Saccharomyces cerevisiae S288C: one gene and its partners. The protein of the gene in region 1 purifies or fractionates together with the protein of each later gene. This does not show direct contact. Each region holds a gene or a part of one and is shown on either strand. Other genes may lie near its edges.

What was found. The genes of interacting proteins can lie anywhere in the genome.
Region 2: the proteins of HSC82 (region 1) and TEF4 purify together in Saccharomyces cerevisiae (affinity purification with mass spectrometry; 4 studies listed by BioGRID). This does not show direct contact.
Region 3: the proteins of HSC82 (region 1) and SGT2 purify together in Saccharomyces cerevisiae (affinity purification with mass spectrometry; 5 studies listed by BioGRID, with this or other methods). This does not show direct contact.

Annotation. Positions count from the first base shown.
Region 1 is NC_001145.3:629,948-636,676, forward strand, and holds HSC82 (Hsp90 family chaperone HSC82), read left to right. Parts: upstream 1-2,407; coding exon 2,408-4,525; downstream 4,526-6,729. Other genes in the region: RTP1 (Rtp1p), read left to right, coding at 1-2,023; YMR187C (uncharacterized protein), read right to left, coding at 4,742-6,037; mitochondrial 37S ribosomal protein uS17m MRPS17, read right to left, coding at 6,344-6,729. UniProt on the Saccharomyces cerevisiae protein: Molecular chaperone that promotes the maturation, structural maintenance and proper regulation of specific target proteins involved in cell cycle control and signal transduction such as CNA2. Undergoes a functional cycle that is linked to its ATPase activity.
Region 2 is NC_001143.9:280,650-284,955, reverse strand, and holds TEF4 (translation elongation factor EF1B gamma), read right to left. Parts: upstream 2,066-4,306; coding exon 1,861-2,065; intron 1,772-1,860; exon of another isoform or gene 1,677-1,771; intron 1,535-1,676; coding exon 501-1,534; downstream 1-500. Other genes in the region: ribosome biosynthesis protein RRP14, read left to right, coding at 2,627-3,931; HOT13 (Hot13p), read right to left, coding at 4,097-4,306. UniProt on the Saccharomyces cerevisiae protein: Subunit of the eukaryotic elongation factor 1 complex (eEF1). Probably plays a role in anchoring the complex to other cellular components.
Region 3 is NC_001147.6:338,438-342,258, reverse strand, and holds SGT2 (Sgt2p), read left to right. Parts: upstream 1-2,280; coding exon 2,281-3,321; downstream 3,322-3,821. Other genes in the region: SLG1 (Slg1p), read left to right, coding at 1-981; ribosome biogenesis protein TSR3, read left to right, coding at 3,638-3,821. UniProt on the Saccharomyces cerevisiae protein: Co-chaperone that binds to the molecular chaperone Hsp70 (SSA1 and SSA2). Regulates Hsp70 ATPase activity. Required for recovery from heat shock.

The sequences.
Region 1 (6,729 bases):
ATTCAAGCAAATTTATGATGGTCTCACCTTTGTGAACAGGCCTATCCTGGTCACTTGTTTGAACGGACTAATCCTTAAATTTTACCTGAGGAATAAGAGGATTGTTAACGATTTTTTGTTTAAGAAGGTCCGCTCCATTATCTTTAATTCCCCGTTAACTGATCATACAGCAAAGGAACTGAACGATGTTATAAACGTTCTTATATCTTTATCCAAAAATTCTTCATCGGATTTGCTGAATGATTTAGTTACTAGTTGCCCTGATGAAGACGGTACTACGCCTGGACAGTTCTTTTTATATGTATGGATATATGCTCTTTTTTTGAAGAAAAACCAAAAACTAGACCCATTAGAAATAAACAAATTGTCTATTTCAGATAATAAAAGCACAGACAGCATACATTTTCCAGAGCAATCTTCCTCAAAGTATTACGAGGTTGTATTATCATTATTAAAATCTCTAATAGTCATAACAGAAAATTTTCAATATCTAAATGTACTGAGCCTTAACTTACTGAATTTTGAGCACGAGAAATGGAAGTATTTAATTGATCTTGATACTCAGCTACCCTACATATCGGTTAAAAACACAGATATGGCAGAGTTGTTTTTCGAAAAAGGATCCAAAAACTCTCAAATTTCTGAGTTTCTTCAAGATATGGACCTTTCGATAGAATTATTTATGGAATTTTTAGTGCTGCTAAATGATGAGGAACAATCAAAGACTTTATTTTTAGATATTCTGAAAAGATGGGTCCATCATACAAAAAAAAGTGAAAAAAGATCTTCCGATAATCATAGCGGGATGCCAAGCGTTACAGATAACGCGTTAATACTCATGGACTTGAAACTTTTGGAATGTATGAACAACCGATTTAAAACCAAGATTGTTAATAAACCTAAGGACGTTCTTATTGTTATTGATCAATTGATAGATGTTGTTCAGGAAAAAGATGAAACAATACAGGAAGTAGAAGCAGATTCTGACGACGAAGTTGAAGAAGGAGAAGAAACAGAAGAATTGGATCCAAATGAAAATTCTTCCTACAAAATTATCTTGCAGTTATTATCAACCGTCCTTTCAGAATCGTCCAGTAGTATATTATTGCAAAACAGTTATATATTGAAATCCATTTCTAGAAAATTACAATCTTTCAACACTAATGCTTCCGAAATAGATGCATTATTGGCATCAATAGATAATATATTGATTAACGGACATACTACGGAAAGGAACGACAACATAGAAATTGAGATGGATGAGGAAAGGCTTGACAAAGCGATAACTAGTCTACATGATCCTTTAGTGCCCATAAAATCTTATGGTTTAACAGAACTACGTCATCTAGCTGAAAAGAAGTCTCCAGTAATTTCACTGGAAAAGGTGTTGCAAATACATTTAGATTATTTAAAGAATATGGACCCTTTCATTTATCTCAACGTTATTAAAGGACTTACAACGCTATGTGAATTAGAGCCAGAAACCATATTGCCTCTACTTGCAGAATTTTATGCTAACAAAAAAAAGAAAAACAGATTAGATGATGTGCTGAAAGTTGGAGAAGTGTTCATCAATTACATTCAACGTCAGAACGAATTGTTCCAGGGTAAATTGGCTTATCTGATTATAGATACCTGTCTTAGTATTGTGAGGCCAAATGATAGTAAACCATTGGACAATAGATGGCGTATGTCATCCATGTCAATCTTAGGTATGTGCCTTCAAATCAACGCCAGGGGTGTCTCGGATAGAATTCGCGATATGCTGGATTGTGTATTTGGAATATTGCAATTAGAACAACCACAAAATCATTTGAAGGACAAGGATGATTCTTTTTTGATGAGAAGAAGTGCCGTACACTTGATACATGATTTGTTGTACAGTACAGGATTTGATTTACTTCCCTTTGAGTACAACTACGATAAGCTAAAAACACTATTATCTTACGTTCGTGATCAAGATGAAGATTACATGGTTTGTGAACAGATTGACAAGCTTTTAACCGTACTAGATAGTTTATAACCCATTACGCATTTGATTATAATTTGCTTCTTAGGCAAAATTAATATTTACGTTCTTTTATATTCTTTCTTTTTGTATTCATAGAACAGCAGCCATTACCAATAGAAAGTTAAAATAGCCGCCGATGCATTTTATTACCCGCCTTTCTGTTTTCTGGGCACTTTTCTTTCTAGAAGGTGAAAGAACAATTTTTCTCGTTTTCTCGAACTTCCACCAAGCGTTGGGTAATGAGGGAGGAGATTTGTATAAAAAGAGTGGCATGTGAACTGCCTACCGTAAGTGACATGAACACATGCATTATATTTTTTGTGATATATTCTTTCTCTTGTTTTCTTTTTCTTGAAACGCTACAGAACCAATAGAAAAATAGAATCATTCTGAAATATGGCTGGTGAAACTTTTGAATTTCAAGCTGAAATCACTCAGTTGATGAGTTTGATCATCAACACTGTCTATTCTAACAAGGAAATTTTCTTGAGAGAACTGATCTCTAACGCCTCCGATGCTTTAGACAAAATTAGATACCAAGCTTTGTCTGATCCAAAGCAATTGGAAACCGAACCAGATTTGTTCATTAGAATCACCCCAAAACCAGAAGAAAAAGTTTTGGAAATCAGAGATTCTGGTATTGGTATGACCAAGGCTGAATTGATTAACAATTTGGGTACCATTGCTAAGTCTGGTACTAAAGCTTTCATGGAAGCTCTATCTGCTGGTGCCGATGTATCCATGATTGGTCAATTCGGTGTTGGTTTTTACTCTTTATTCTTAGTCGCCGACAGAGTTCAAGTTATTTCCAAGAACAATGAGGACGAACAATATATTTGGGAATCTAATGCCGGTGGTTCTTTCACCGTTACTTTGGACGAAGTTAACGAAAGAATTGGTAGAGGTACCGTCTTGAGATTATTCTTGAAAGATGACCAATTGGAGTACTTGGAAGAAAAGAGAATTAAAGAAGTCATCAAGAGACATTCTGAATTCGTTGCTTACCCTATCCAACTTCTAGTCACCAAGGAAGTCGAAAAGGAAGTTCCAATTCCAGAAGAAGAAAAGAAAGACGAGGAAAAGAAGGATGAAGATGACAAGAAACCAAAATTGGAAGAAGTCGATGAAGAAGAAGAAGAAAAGAAGCCAAAAACCAAAAAAGTTAAAGAAGAGGTTCAAGAATTAGAAGAGTTGAACAAGACTAAGCCATTATGGACTAGAAACCCATCTGATATCACTCAAGAGGAATACAATGCTTTCTATAAGTCTATTTCTAACGACTGGGAAGACCCATTGTACGTTAAGCATTTCTCTGTTGAAGGTCAATTGGAATTTAGAGCTATCTTGTTCATTCCAAAGAGAGCACCATTCGACTTATTTGAGAGTAAGAAGAAGAAGAACAATATCAAGTTGTACGTTCGTCGTGTCTTCATCACTGATGAAGCTGAAGACTTGATTCCAGAGTGGTTATCTTTCGTCAAGGGTGTTGTTGACTCTGAAGATTTACCATTGAATTTGTCCAGAGAAATGTTACAACAAAATAAGATTATGAAGGTTATTAGAAAGAATATTGTCAAGAAATTGATTGAAGCCTTCAACGAAATCGCTGAAGACTCCGAGCAATTTGACAAATTTTACTCTGCCTTCGCTAAGAACATTAAGCTGGGTGTACATGAGGACACTCAAAACAGAGCTGCTTTAGCTAAGTTGCTACGTTACAATTCTACTAAATCTGTCGATGAATTGACTTCCTTGACTGATTACGTTACTAGAATGCCAGAACACCAAAAGAACATCTATTACATCACCGGTGAATCTCTAAAGGCAGTCGAAAAGTCTCCATTCTTGGACGCCTTGAAGGCTAAGAACTTTGAAGTTTTGTTCTTGACCGACCCAATTGATGAATACGCTTTCACTCAATTGAAGGAATTCGAGGGTAAAACTTTGGTTGACATTACTAAAGATTTCGAATTGGAAGAAACAGACGAAGAAAAAGCTGAAAGAGAGAAGGAGATCAAAGAATACGAACCATTGACCAAGGCCTTGAAGGATATCTTGGGTGACCAAGTGGAGAAGGTTGTTGTTTCTTACAAATTGCTAGATGCTCCAGCTGCCATCAGAACTGGTCAATTCGGCTGGTCTGCTAACATGGAAAGAATCATGAAGGCTCAAGCCTTGAGAGACTCTTCCATGTCCTCCTACATGTCTTCCAAGAAGACTTTCGAAATTTCTCCAAAATCTCCAATTATTAAGGAATTGAAAAAGAGAGTTGATGAGGGTGGTGCACAAGATAAGACCGTCAAAGATTTGACTAACTTATTATTCGAGACCGCTTTGTTGACTTCTGGTTTCAGTTTGGAAGAACCAACTTCTTTTGCATCAAGAATAAATAGATTGATTTCTTTAGGTTTGAACATTGATGAGGATGAAGAAACAGAAACCGCTCCAGAAGCTTCTACCGAAGCTCCAGTTGAAGAGGTTCCAGCTGACACCGAGATGGAAGAAGTTGATTAATCTCTTTTTTCGCCTTCATGTTTTATATATTATATAAATTTGTTTACTTATTTTTACTATTTGTAATAATGATTCTGCTTTACGCGCCTTTAAAAAAGTTGGTCTTAATGTAAACATGAACCATAGCACACAATTTAAGACATCAGCTGTCAAATGACCATAAAATTGTCCTACCAGCTGTCCTTAAAGTTTAGTGTACACTTACGAATGACTTATTTACTCACCTTTGCAACTTTGTTCAATAAATTCATTGATCTTTTCAAGTTCCTGACATCTTTTGTAACTGGCATAGAGCTTCAGACTTGACCAGCCTATAGCAGCAGTACCACAACCTATAATATTGAAAATCATTCTAAATTCCGAAGGGGAGCAATTCGGCGTCCATTCAATTTTAAACTTTCTCTGTATCCATAGAAAAGCATTCAATAGAAGACCTCCTGTACATTTACCAACAAAGGGCCATAGTATCTTTTCTGCAAGAATAGCATACCAATTCCGCCTGATAAAAAATTCCTCAGCTGGAACGCTATTACTAGAGTTTTCAAAATTTCCGTGATACAAATACTTACCTCCTTTATTGATCAGCCTCCTGTAAATTAAGTCAACCAATCTTTTAAAGGTAAAATTATAGCAAAATGTAGCCAAGTTAGAATACAAAATTATTTTAGGTAAACCTATACCCTTGTAATATTTGTTTCCAGCAGTTTTTACAATACTGAGATACACCCACTTAAAGAGTATTGCATTAGCACTGACGTTAGAAATGTTGCTAAGATAATGTATGAACCCATATATTATGATCGAGGAGGTTAAAGGAATGCTTAATAAGCCACGTTCAGTTTGCGCATATACGTCCAATGCCTTTGTAGTGCTGATGTTTAACATATTTCGTAGAACATTCTCAGGGAAAAGGCAGCGTAGTTGCCATAATCCAATGTCAAAACTTGTCTTTTCAGGGTTTAAAAGAAATAAACTAGTTATCCCTAATGGTATCACGTATCGTGTAATTTTTTGCCACTGATAAAACAGGGATAGTACAGAAGACTGGATGGTTACTGTAGGTCTTTTTATGAAATTTGTTTTCTTGCATTGAGGACATTCGCCAAATTTCACTAACACATAAGGTGGATGATTATCCCGTTTGGTATAAAGAGACATTAGATTGAACACGTAGTCATTTTGAAACGGTACTGATTTTTGCCCCCAAATGGGACGAGTTTCCCATATTTCTGTAAGAGAGAAAGTCGTCATAAAATCATGGTGCCCATCAACGAGACATTTTAAACAGGTGATTATAGGTAAATCAGCATCCTTTGGTAGGTCCACTGTGTTCGGAAGAAAAAGTTCAACATGCATTTGATAGAGCCATCTTATATAGCAGCGTTTATGAATTTGTAAGTTGCAACCGCACGTGTGCTGTAGCCATGTAGAGTCATATGTGGATTCTTCCAAACATATCCAGCATATGCATCTTTTTTTTATGAGAGATAAAAAAAAATGAGGTGGGGTCATATAAAACTTGGACTATTTCCTTGGAATTTTCTTGTTTGTAAAATCAGAGCAGAGCTCTTTTATTTACTTTTGTTTTTGACGATGGGGACGAGCGATGTACTCACATCTTCGATATCACTTGCCTGAAAATATATAAATGCGTTAAACGATAGAAAATCAAAAACATCGTTCTTTTCACTAGAATATTTTAAAGTCAAAACATAACACTTTACTATTTACGTAACGAAGTCTTGTAGTTGTATATATTTACAGAGTGTAGTGCTTTAGTTGAGAAAATATGACACTCGGCTTTCCTCTTTCTTTTATTTACTGGCTTGGTTGTTGCATATCCATCATGACGTGCTTTCTTAACAAATTTTTTTTGATGTTTTTTTTCAAGGTCAAAGGATCCTCAACACCATGATCCTTCAAAAATTGATCACATTTTAGATCATTCGACAACAATTCGGATAATCGCGTTTGAATACGATCAATGAGACTTCTTTGTTTCTCCAAATTAACCTCCAATCCAGAGATGTCTAACTGTAAAAGTTGCCTCACTGTTTCTTGTGAAAAATCTTGAATGCCGTACCTTTGTTTAATCTCCAATAACTCTTTCGGCGTTGACCCGCTAGATAAAGCATCTTGGATGGTCCTAATATCACGTAAAAGGGTTGTTTTTTCATTTAGTTTATTCTCCCTCACTGATCTTT
Region 2 (4,306 bases), on another chromosome or scaffold:
ACCTCCTTTGTTTGTGTTTCTAAAGCACTGTGACAAATCCTGCTTGAAAGCACATGATATCACCAGACGTGTTGCACTATCTTCAGTTCTATCCTAAATTGTTTTCCAGTCTTAAGATAAAATTCATTCCAGTTCGGGTAACATACACCGTTTATGACTGACGCTTCTCTTTACGGAAAATTGTTTTTTTCGCTATTGTTGCAAAAGTACAATGGAAAATGCCCCACTGAAACATGAAATAAGAAGAGAAGAATCAAGTTTATGCAAAATATTGTTAGAGTAACCGCAGCAGATTGTGATACTCAATTAGAGAGATTATTACAATATATATATATATAATGATTACATGGACGTTAATCGTTACATAGAATTAAACCACGCGTAAGTATGGGGTAATCATGAAGTAGACTTCAGGGTTTTTTTCTTTTTTCTTTTGAAAATTCGTTTTGTTTGACTCTTATGTATATTGGGAAGAAAATATGGAAGAAGAGTTATTGAGATTATTTCAAAACCTTACCGTCAACAATTTCCTTATCTTCGCCATTGACAACAACAGGCTTATCCCAAGCCCACATGTTGTTGACAAATTCTTTGTCTTCTTCCTTGGTTGGGTCCAACTTGGTGTATTCGTAAGATTCCCAGTCTGGAGCGACATCAAAGGCTGGAGCGAAATCTTGGCCTCTGACCATAACGGCACCAACAATACCATTATTGTTGTTTTCACCATAGACAACTAAACAACCGAACATGTACTTAGTAGAAGCGGACAATCTGTTGAAAAAACCACCGACCAAGTTGTTGGACATGAAAGTCAAGGTAAGTTCGTCGTTGTATTTGTAACCAACCTTCCAGATGGAGTATTCTTCAGGGTTGTAGTGTTCCCAGAACCATGGCAAAGCAACTGGTCTGGTGTCGTCGTTGGAGTACTTTCTCTTCCAGTCATCCAAGACAAATGTGGACTTTCCTAAAGCTTCCAATGGGTGCTTTGGCTTTTTAGCTGGAGCAGCATCATCTGCTGGCTTAGCTTCGTCCTTCTTCTTTTCAGCCTTTGACTTTTCGGCCTTTGGCTTTTCAGCCTTTTGCTTCTTTGGTGGAGTGTAGGTTAGAGCCTTTTCAGCCAATTTGACTTCAGCAAATGGAGTCTTCACGATTGGAGAAGCAGCAACAGTGTTGAACCATCTCATCAAATGAGGATGCTTAGCTCTCCATTCAGGGCCCAAAATAGTGGCCAAACCAAAAGCCCAAGAACCAGCGGCATGAAGGTCACCTAGAGAAATGTTTTCGGTAGCAACAAAGGTGTAGTCTCTCAATCTAGCATCGAAGACAGCAGCTAGGTTGTCGATTTTAACAAAACAAGCATCAACGTCTTTCTTGTTGTATGGAATCAAACCTTTGAAAGAAAGGAATGGACGAGCAATGTTGCTCATGACATCGGAATTAGCTAGAGATGCCCATCTAAGGATTTGAGACTTTTCGATAACGTCGGAACCTAATAAGCGAGCTCTTTCTTTTTCATCGGCAACTTGATTAGCCACTAAATATACATCATCTCGATGGTTATACAACCATTAATTGAAGAAATGTTAGTAAAACAATCCTTTATATTTTTTCCTGGATTAGGACACGCTTTGTACTTCCTTTTTGTTATTTTGACTTTCATTTTTCTTTAAGAAACATATCAGAAATACAAATATCAACATATGAGAGGTTACCTATTATTACCCATTCAGACAGGGATAACTGTTTGATAAAATTTTTTTTCATCATTATGTTTCGAAGAAAAATGACGTGCCAAATAAACGAACGGGAAACGCGCAAAACAATGTATGTGGAAGTGTTAAAATAAAATATGGAACATACAATAAAATTGGATAGCCAAAGCTTCAGTTAGCTTTAAGCCCTTTGGACCCAAAAATGCAGGGGCTTGCTTCAATGGGAACAAAGAAGCAAACTCGCTAGATTGTTCTAGATCAACGATCTTGACATCTAGTTTAAAGTAAGAAATCAAAGCTTCAGAAGCGTAGTTTCTTGGAGATCTATTAATGTATAAAGTACCTTGGGACATCTTGAATCTATCGAGGGCCAAAATCAAAGAATTGAGTTGGTATTAAGGATGGACACCAGTTTTGAACAAAATTAACGACGGAATGGATGAATTAAATATGAAAAAGAAAGTATTGCAAACTGTTGATGAAAAAAATTTTTCTTTCAATTTTGTCAGCAGCAGAGCGCATTACCCTGCCGGCCACATGCCGAATTAAATTAAATGAGGGCTGCTATTGCCAAATGTGATGGCTTGCCTACAGAGGTTAATTTCCCTTGTTTTGGGCTTCCTCTCTCAACACGATTGACACAAGCAATAGAGGCAAAGGTGTGTAATGAGTTCGTGTACCAATTAAAGTAAAGTAGAGTGGTTTAATTGGGATTACACGATTAAAAAGTTTCACCCAGACACCAAATTGAAAATTTTTTAAAATGAATTCTTTTTATTCTCATCTCCGGTAAAGAAAAGAGGAAAGTACAATAAAAGAGATGAGATGACCAAGAGATGAATAACAAGTGAGGACTGAGACGTTGTTGCAAGTGATAAAGAAAGTCCGGGAATTGAAAGATATAGGAGACTGAGATGAGTAATTCACTTGAGGAGCGCCTTCGTGCTAATTCAAGCGCCTTCGATGGTTTATTGGCTTTAATTCCTGCAAAATACTATTATGATGAAAAAAGTCAAGAGCAATGGAAGGCCAAGAAGAAAACCAAAGAACAGAGTAAAAATGATAAACTGAAAAAATTAGACCCGGAGCAACGTGATGATGAAACATCTAGTACATTAGAAGTAATGAAGAAGAAGGAGAAAGACGCAAAGCCGGTGGTCCTACCTGGTGAAAAATTCAAGCACATGAAAATGCAAAAGCAAAAGGAAGCAACATCAAAAGTGGAAGGAGACTCCGACCTGAACGTAGAAGTAAACGATCCTATGATAATAGCACCAGACGAAGATGAAGAAGAGGAAGAGGATATTAAGGTGATCTTTGATGATGAGGGAAATGAAATACCATTAGAATCTAAAAAAGATACTACAGAGCCCGATAGATCTGTCGAAAAGAAGTCTATTACAGAGGAAGAGAAACTACAAAGAAAGAAAAACTTGGAAGCACTACGTTCCAAGTTACAAGCGAAAATTTCAGATATGAAGAGTAAAAGGAAAGCACCCGGTTCTAGAGAGGCTATTCTTGCTCAAAGGAAACGCAAGGAAGAGTTGAAAAAAAGAAAGCGTCTAGAAAGTGAACAGGAACAGGATCAGGATGAAATTGCGTCTGATTCCGATATGGAAGACATCGATAGTGATTTAGAAAACAATTCGAAAAAAAGATTCAAAAAAGGCAAGAAGGACTCAGAAATTAACGCAGATGGTGTAATGTTTCAAAATATCATATTCGATGATGGTGCAAGGGCCACTTCAGATTTACAAAGGTTAAGAAAAGCTGGTAGAACGAAGGGTCCGGCTAAGAATGATGTAAAATCACACTTAAAGTTATTAGAAGCCAAGAAGAATAAGATGGAGGCGAAAGACGAACTAGAACAAATCAAGCAGAAGGAAAAGGAAAAATGGCAAAAGGCTATGTTACAAGCAGAAGGAATTAAGATTAGGGATGACGAAAAACTACTTCGCAAAGCTATAAAGAGAAAGGAAGCACAAAAGAGAAAGTCTGCGATTGAATGGAGCGAACGTAAGAGGGTTGTGGAAGACACGATATCTGAAAGACAAAAGAGAAGAGAAGAGAATCTGAGGATTAGGAAAGACAACAAGGGTAAAAAGAGAAATAAGCAAGAAAAGATGAAAAGAAAGTATGTCGGTAGTGCCGTACCAAAGAAAAGAGCCGGATTTGAGGGTAGATTAAAAACAGGTAAAAAGAAGGGAGGACCTAAATAATAATCACGATAATAATAACAACAATAATAGATATATATATATGTATGAACATATATATACAGATACATATATATATATATATATCTATATATATACCATCGCATTTTTTCCTTAACGAGAAGAGCACAGCAGAGCTTAAGATGGCATGCATTTATAGAACAACACTCAACACATAGCGGGGGGAGGGTTCTGGAAATACAAATGGTAGTGCAATTTACAGCCTGGATTAAAGGGGGATCTGCAATTGGGACAAATAAGGTTTGAATTGTAGTCGTAATACTCTGCAAACGTCATTTCATGACGGCAAACTCCGCAAATAATCAAGTGTTTATTTGCATCGTCAAGGAGATCATATTTTTCTAGCGGGTGAGAACT
Region 3 (3,821 bases), on another chromosome or scaffold:
TGTAGCGCAAAAGGTGCAAGCTACTTTGCCCTTTATAATCATTCAGAATGTTATTGTGGTGATACTAATCCATCTGGTTCGGAATCTACTTCCTCTTCATGTAATACGTATTGCTTTGGTTACAGCAGTGAGATGTGTGGTGGTGAAGATGCCTATTCTGTGTACCAACTTGACTCTGACACAAATAGCAATAGCATAAGCAGCTCAGATTCAAGTACGGAGTCTACTTCTGCGTCGTCTTCCACAACTTCTTCAACAACGTCCTCCACAACATCAACTACATCATCGACTACATCATCAACTACATCATCAATGGCGTCTTCCTCTACAGTACAGAATTCCCCCGAGTCAACTCAAGCAGCTGCCTCTATTTCAACGTCACAGAGTTCGAGCACTGTAACGTCAGAAAGCTCGCTAACTTCGGATACTTTGGCAACGAGCAGTACTAGCTCTCAATCACAGGACGCCACTTCGATAATCTATTCCACTACTTTTCACACTGAGGGCGGTTCCACAATTTTTGTCACGAACACCATCACGGCAAGTGCACAGAATTCAGGATCGGCCACAGGTACAGCTGGATCTGACTCTACGAGTGGAAGTAAAACTCATAAAAAGAAAGCCAATGTAGGGGCAATTGTAGGCGGCGTTGTAGGTGGTGTAGTGGGAGCCGTAGCCATTGCTCTTTGTATCTTGTTGATTGTCAGACACATTAATATGAAGCGGGAACAAGACAGGATGGAAAAGGAATACCAAGAGGCGATAAAACCAGTTGAGTACCCTGATAAACTATACGCCTCTTCATTTTCATCTAATCACGGGCCCTCTTCAGGTAGCTTCGAGGAGGAGCACACCAAAGGGCAAACTGATATTAACCCTTTCGACGACTCAAGGAGAATAAGTAACGGAACATTCATAAATGGCGGACCAGGAGGGAAAAACAACGTTTTAACAGTGGTCAATCCAGACGAAGCTGATTGAAGAAACCCAAAAAAAATTATTATATTCTTAAACTATTGCCAAGCAAGTCTTGTTCCTTCCCATTAATTTTTTCTTTTTCCGATTTCATTTTGCCAAATCATCTCCATTTTCACATTATGATGATCCTCTAAAAATTCATACATTTCGAATTTGAGAGCTGGAGAGCTGGAAGTAACGAGGAACATTAAATAGGAACAACAAAATTAGATTAGTTATTTTTTTTTCTACTCATTAATTTTTTTATGATATATTTGAATACCAACCTTAACTTAGTTACATAGATTTAACAAACATTAAACATGTTAATTCTTTGAAATGAATACCACCTAATAAAACTATACATTTTCAAAATAACAAATTGTTATGAAACTAATAGCTAATTATCTTCTAGTGACAATAACCACTTTACTAGAAATTATTAAAAAAATACCGCGTTGAAAGACGATATAAAGTAGGAGATTAATAAATTTATATTCATATTTTCTTCAATCTAATGAAATTGAAGCGCAAGGATTGATTATGTGATAGGATGCGTGAGTAGTAATGCATGAAAAAGGAGGAAGACGTGATTATAATATATGATGTAAAATTTTGATTCCATTTTGCGGATTCCTGTATCCTCGAGGAAAGACCTCTGGCATATTATATAGGGATATTATTCCTTTACAAAAAATGGAATGAAAGAATCAAAACAAAATTGTCATGTTTGCACAATTGCGTATACCATTGCATATAATTATGTCGAAAATCATCAATATGTATGGGAATGATCATTCCATTTTTTTCACACTGGCATAATAATTTGAATATAATAATAATGGATGATGGGCATTATTGGGAAATAAAACTATGAAATTTGCTTTTAGTACGTGTATCGATAAATATCTCTAATTTTCTCAAGATCTGTTCCTCGTGGCCCAATGGTCACGGCGTCTGGCTACGAACCAGAAGATTCCAGGTTCAAGTCCTGGCGGGGAAGATTTTTTTTAACATTGAATAGAAATTACAAAGGTCTTTTATGCTATTTTAAAGGGCTATAGGCGGCATAATATTTGCTTTTAACCTTATTGTCATGACATTCTAATCACAACACTTAGCCCTTCTTTTGTATTTTTCCAAACTTTTTCAAGTCTTAAAATTTTCCCAATCGAAAAAAATGGAAGATCCGAGAAGGTTTTATTGCCCTACGCTTAATCCCAAATTTTGCCACCATATAAAATGAGTACGAGCGATATAATCGGACAACTGAATAGAAGCTTCTGACCAAGTGATATCTTATTAATACAAATCTACTGTACGATGTCAGCATCAAAAGAAGAAATTGCTGCCCTTATTGTAAACTACTTTTCTTCCATTGTGGAAAAGAAAGAAATTTCAGAAGATGGCGCCGATTCTTTAAATGTTGCTATGGACTGTATCTCTGAAGCCTTTGGCTTTGAAAGAGAAGCTGTTTCAGGCATTTTAGGCAAGTCTGAATTCAAGGGTCAACATCTTGCTGATATATTAAATTCTGCGTCAAGAGTTCCAGAATCGAATAAGAAAGACGATGCTGAGAATGTCGAGATTAATATTCCAGAAGATGATGCGGAAACTAAAGCCAAAGCTGAGGACTTGAAAATGCAAGGTAATAAAGCAATGGCCAACAAGGATTACGAACTGGCAATCAATAAATATACTGAAGCCATTAAAGTTTTACCAACGAATGCTATTTATTACGCCAATAGAGCGGCTGCTCATTCATCCCTGAAAGAATATGATCAAGCGGTCAAAGACGCTGAATCTGCAATTTCTATTGACCCATCTTATTTCAGAGGCTACTCTAGATTGGGTTTTGCTAAATATGCGCAAGGTAAACCCGAAGAAGCCCTTGAAGCATACAAAAAGGTTCTTGATATAGAGGGCGATAATGCAACAGAAGCTATGAAAAGGGATTATGAAAGTGCCAAGAAGAAGGTTGAGCAATCTTTGAATCTGGAGAAAACCGTTCCAGAACAGTCAAGGGATGCTGATGTCGATGCAAGTCAGGGTGCTAGTGCGGGTGGATTGCCAGATCTTGGTTCTTTATTAGGAGGTGGTCTTGGAGGTTTAATGAACAACCCACAATTGATGCAGGCTGCGCAAAAAATGATGAGCAATCCAGGTGCAATGCAGAATATTCAAAAAATGATGCAAGATCCAAGTATCAGACAGATGGCTGAAGGCTTTGCTTCAGGCGGAGGAACTCCAAATTTGTCTGACTTGATGAATAACCCAGCACTCAGAAACATGGCAGGCAATCTTTTTGGTGGAGCAGGTGCCCAATCTACAGATGAAACACCAGACAATGAGAACAAGCAATAGTGGACTGAAATAAGCCTTTAATGCAATACATGTTATGTAGATACAAATATAGCTCTATCTAGGATGAGTGTTACCAGGAATTTTATTTTTACTTTGAGATCACTTGCGAAATACTTAAATAGGGACTGTAGTTTACTTTTTCTTTTTTTCAGGTAAATTCGTCGATTTTCGGAGAAGACTAGAAAATATAATGTGATGAGAAACTACATAAAAAAATTTTTACTAGTAAATGTCTATTTGAAATACTTTATCGAAAAGCTTTTTATGTAAATCTGTATAGAACTTCTCGCGTAAGACAGTTGAGTAAGCAGTAACAATGGGAAAAGGTAAAAATAAGATGCACGAACCCAAAAATGGAAGACCACAGAGAGGCGCTAATGGGCACAGTTCCAGGCAAAACCATAGGCGCATGGAAATGAAGTACGATAATTCAGAAAAAATGAAGTTTCCTGTTAAACTGGCTATGTGGGATTTTGATCATTGCGATCCAAAGAGATGCA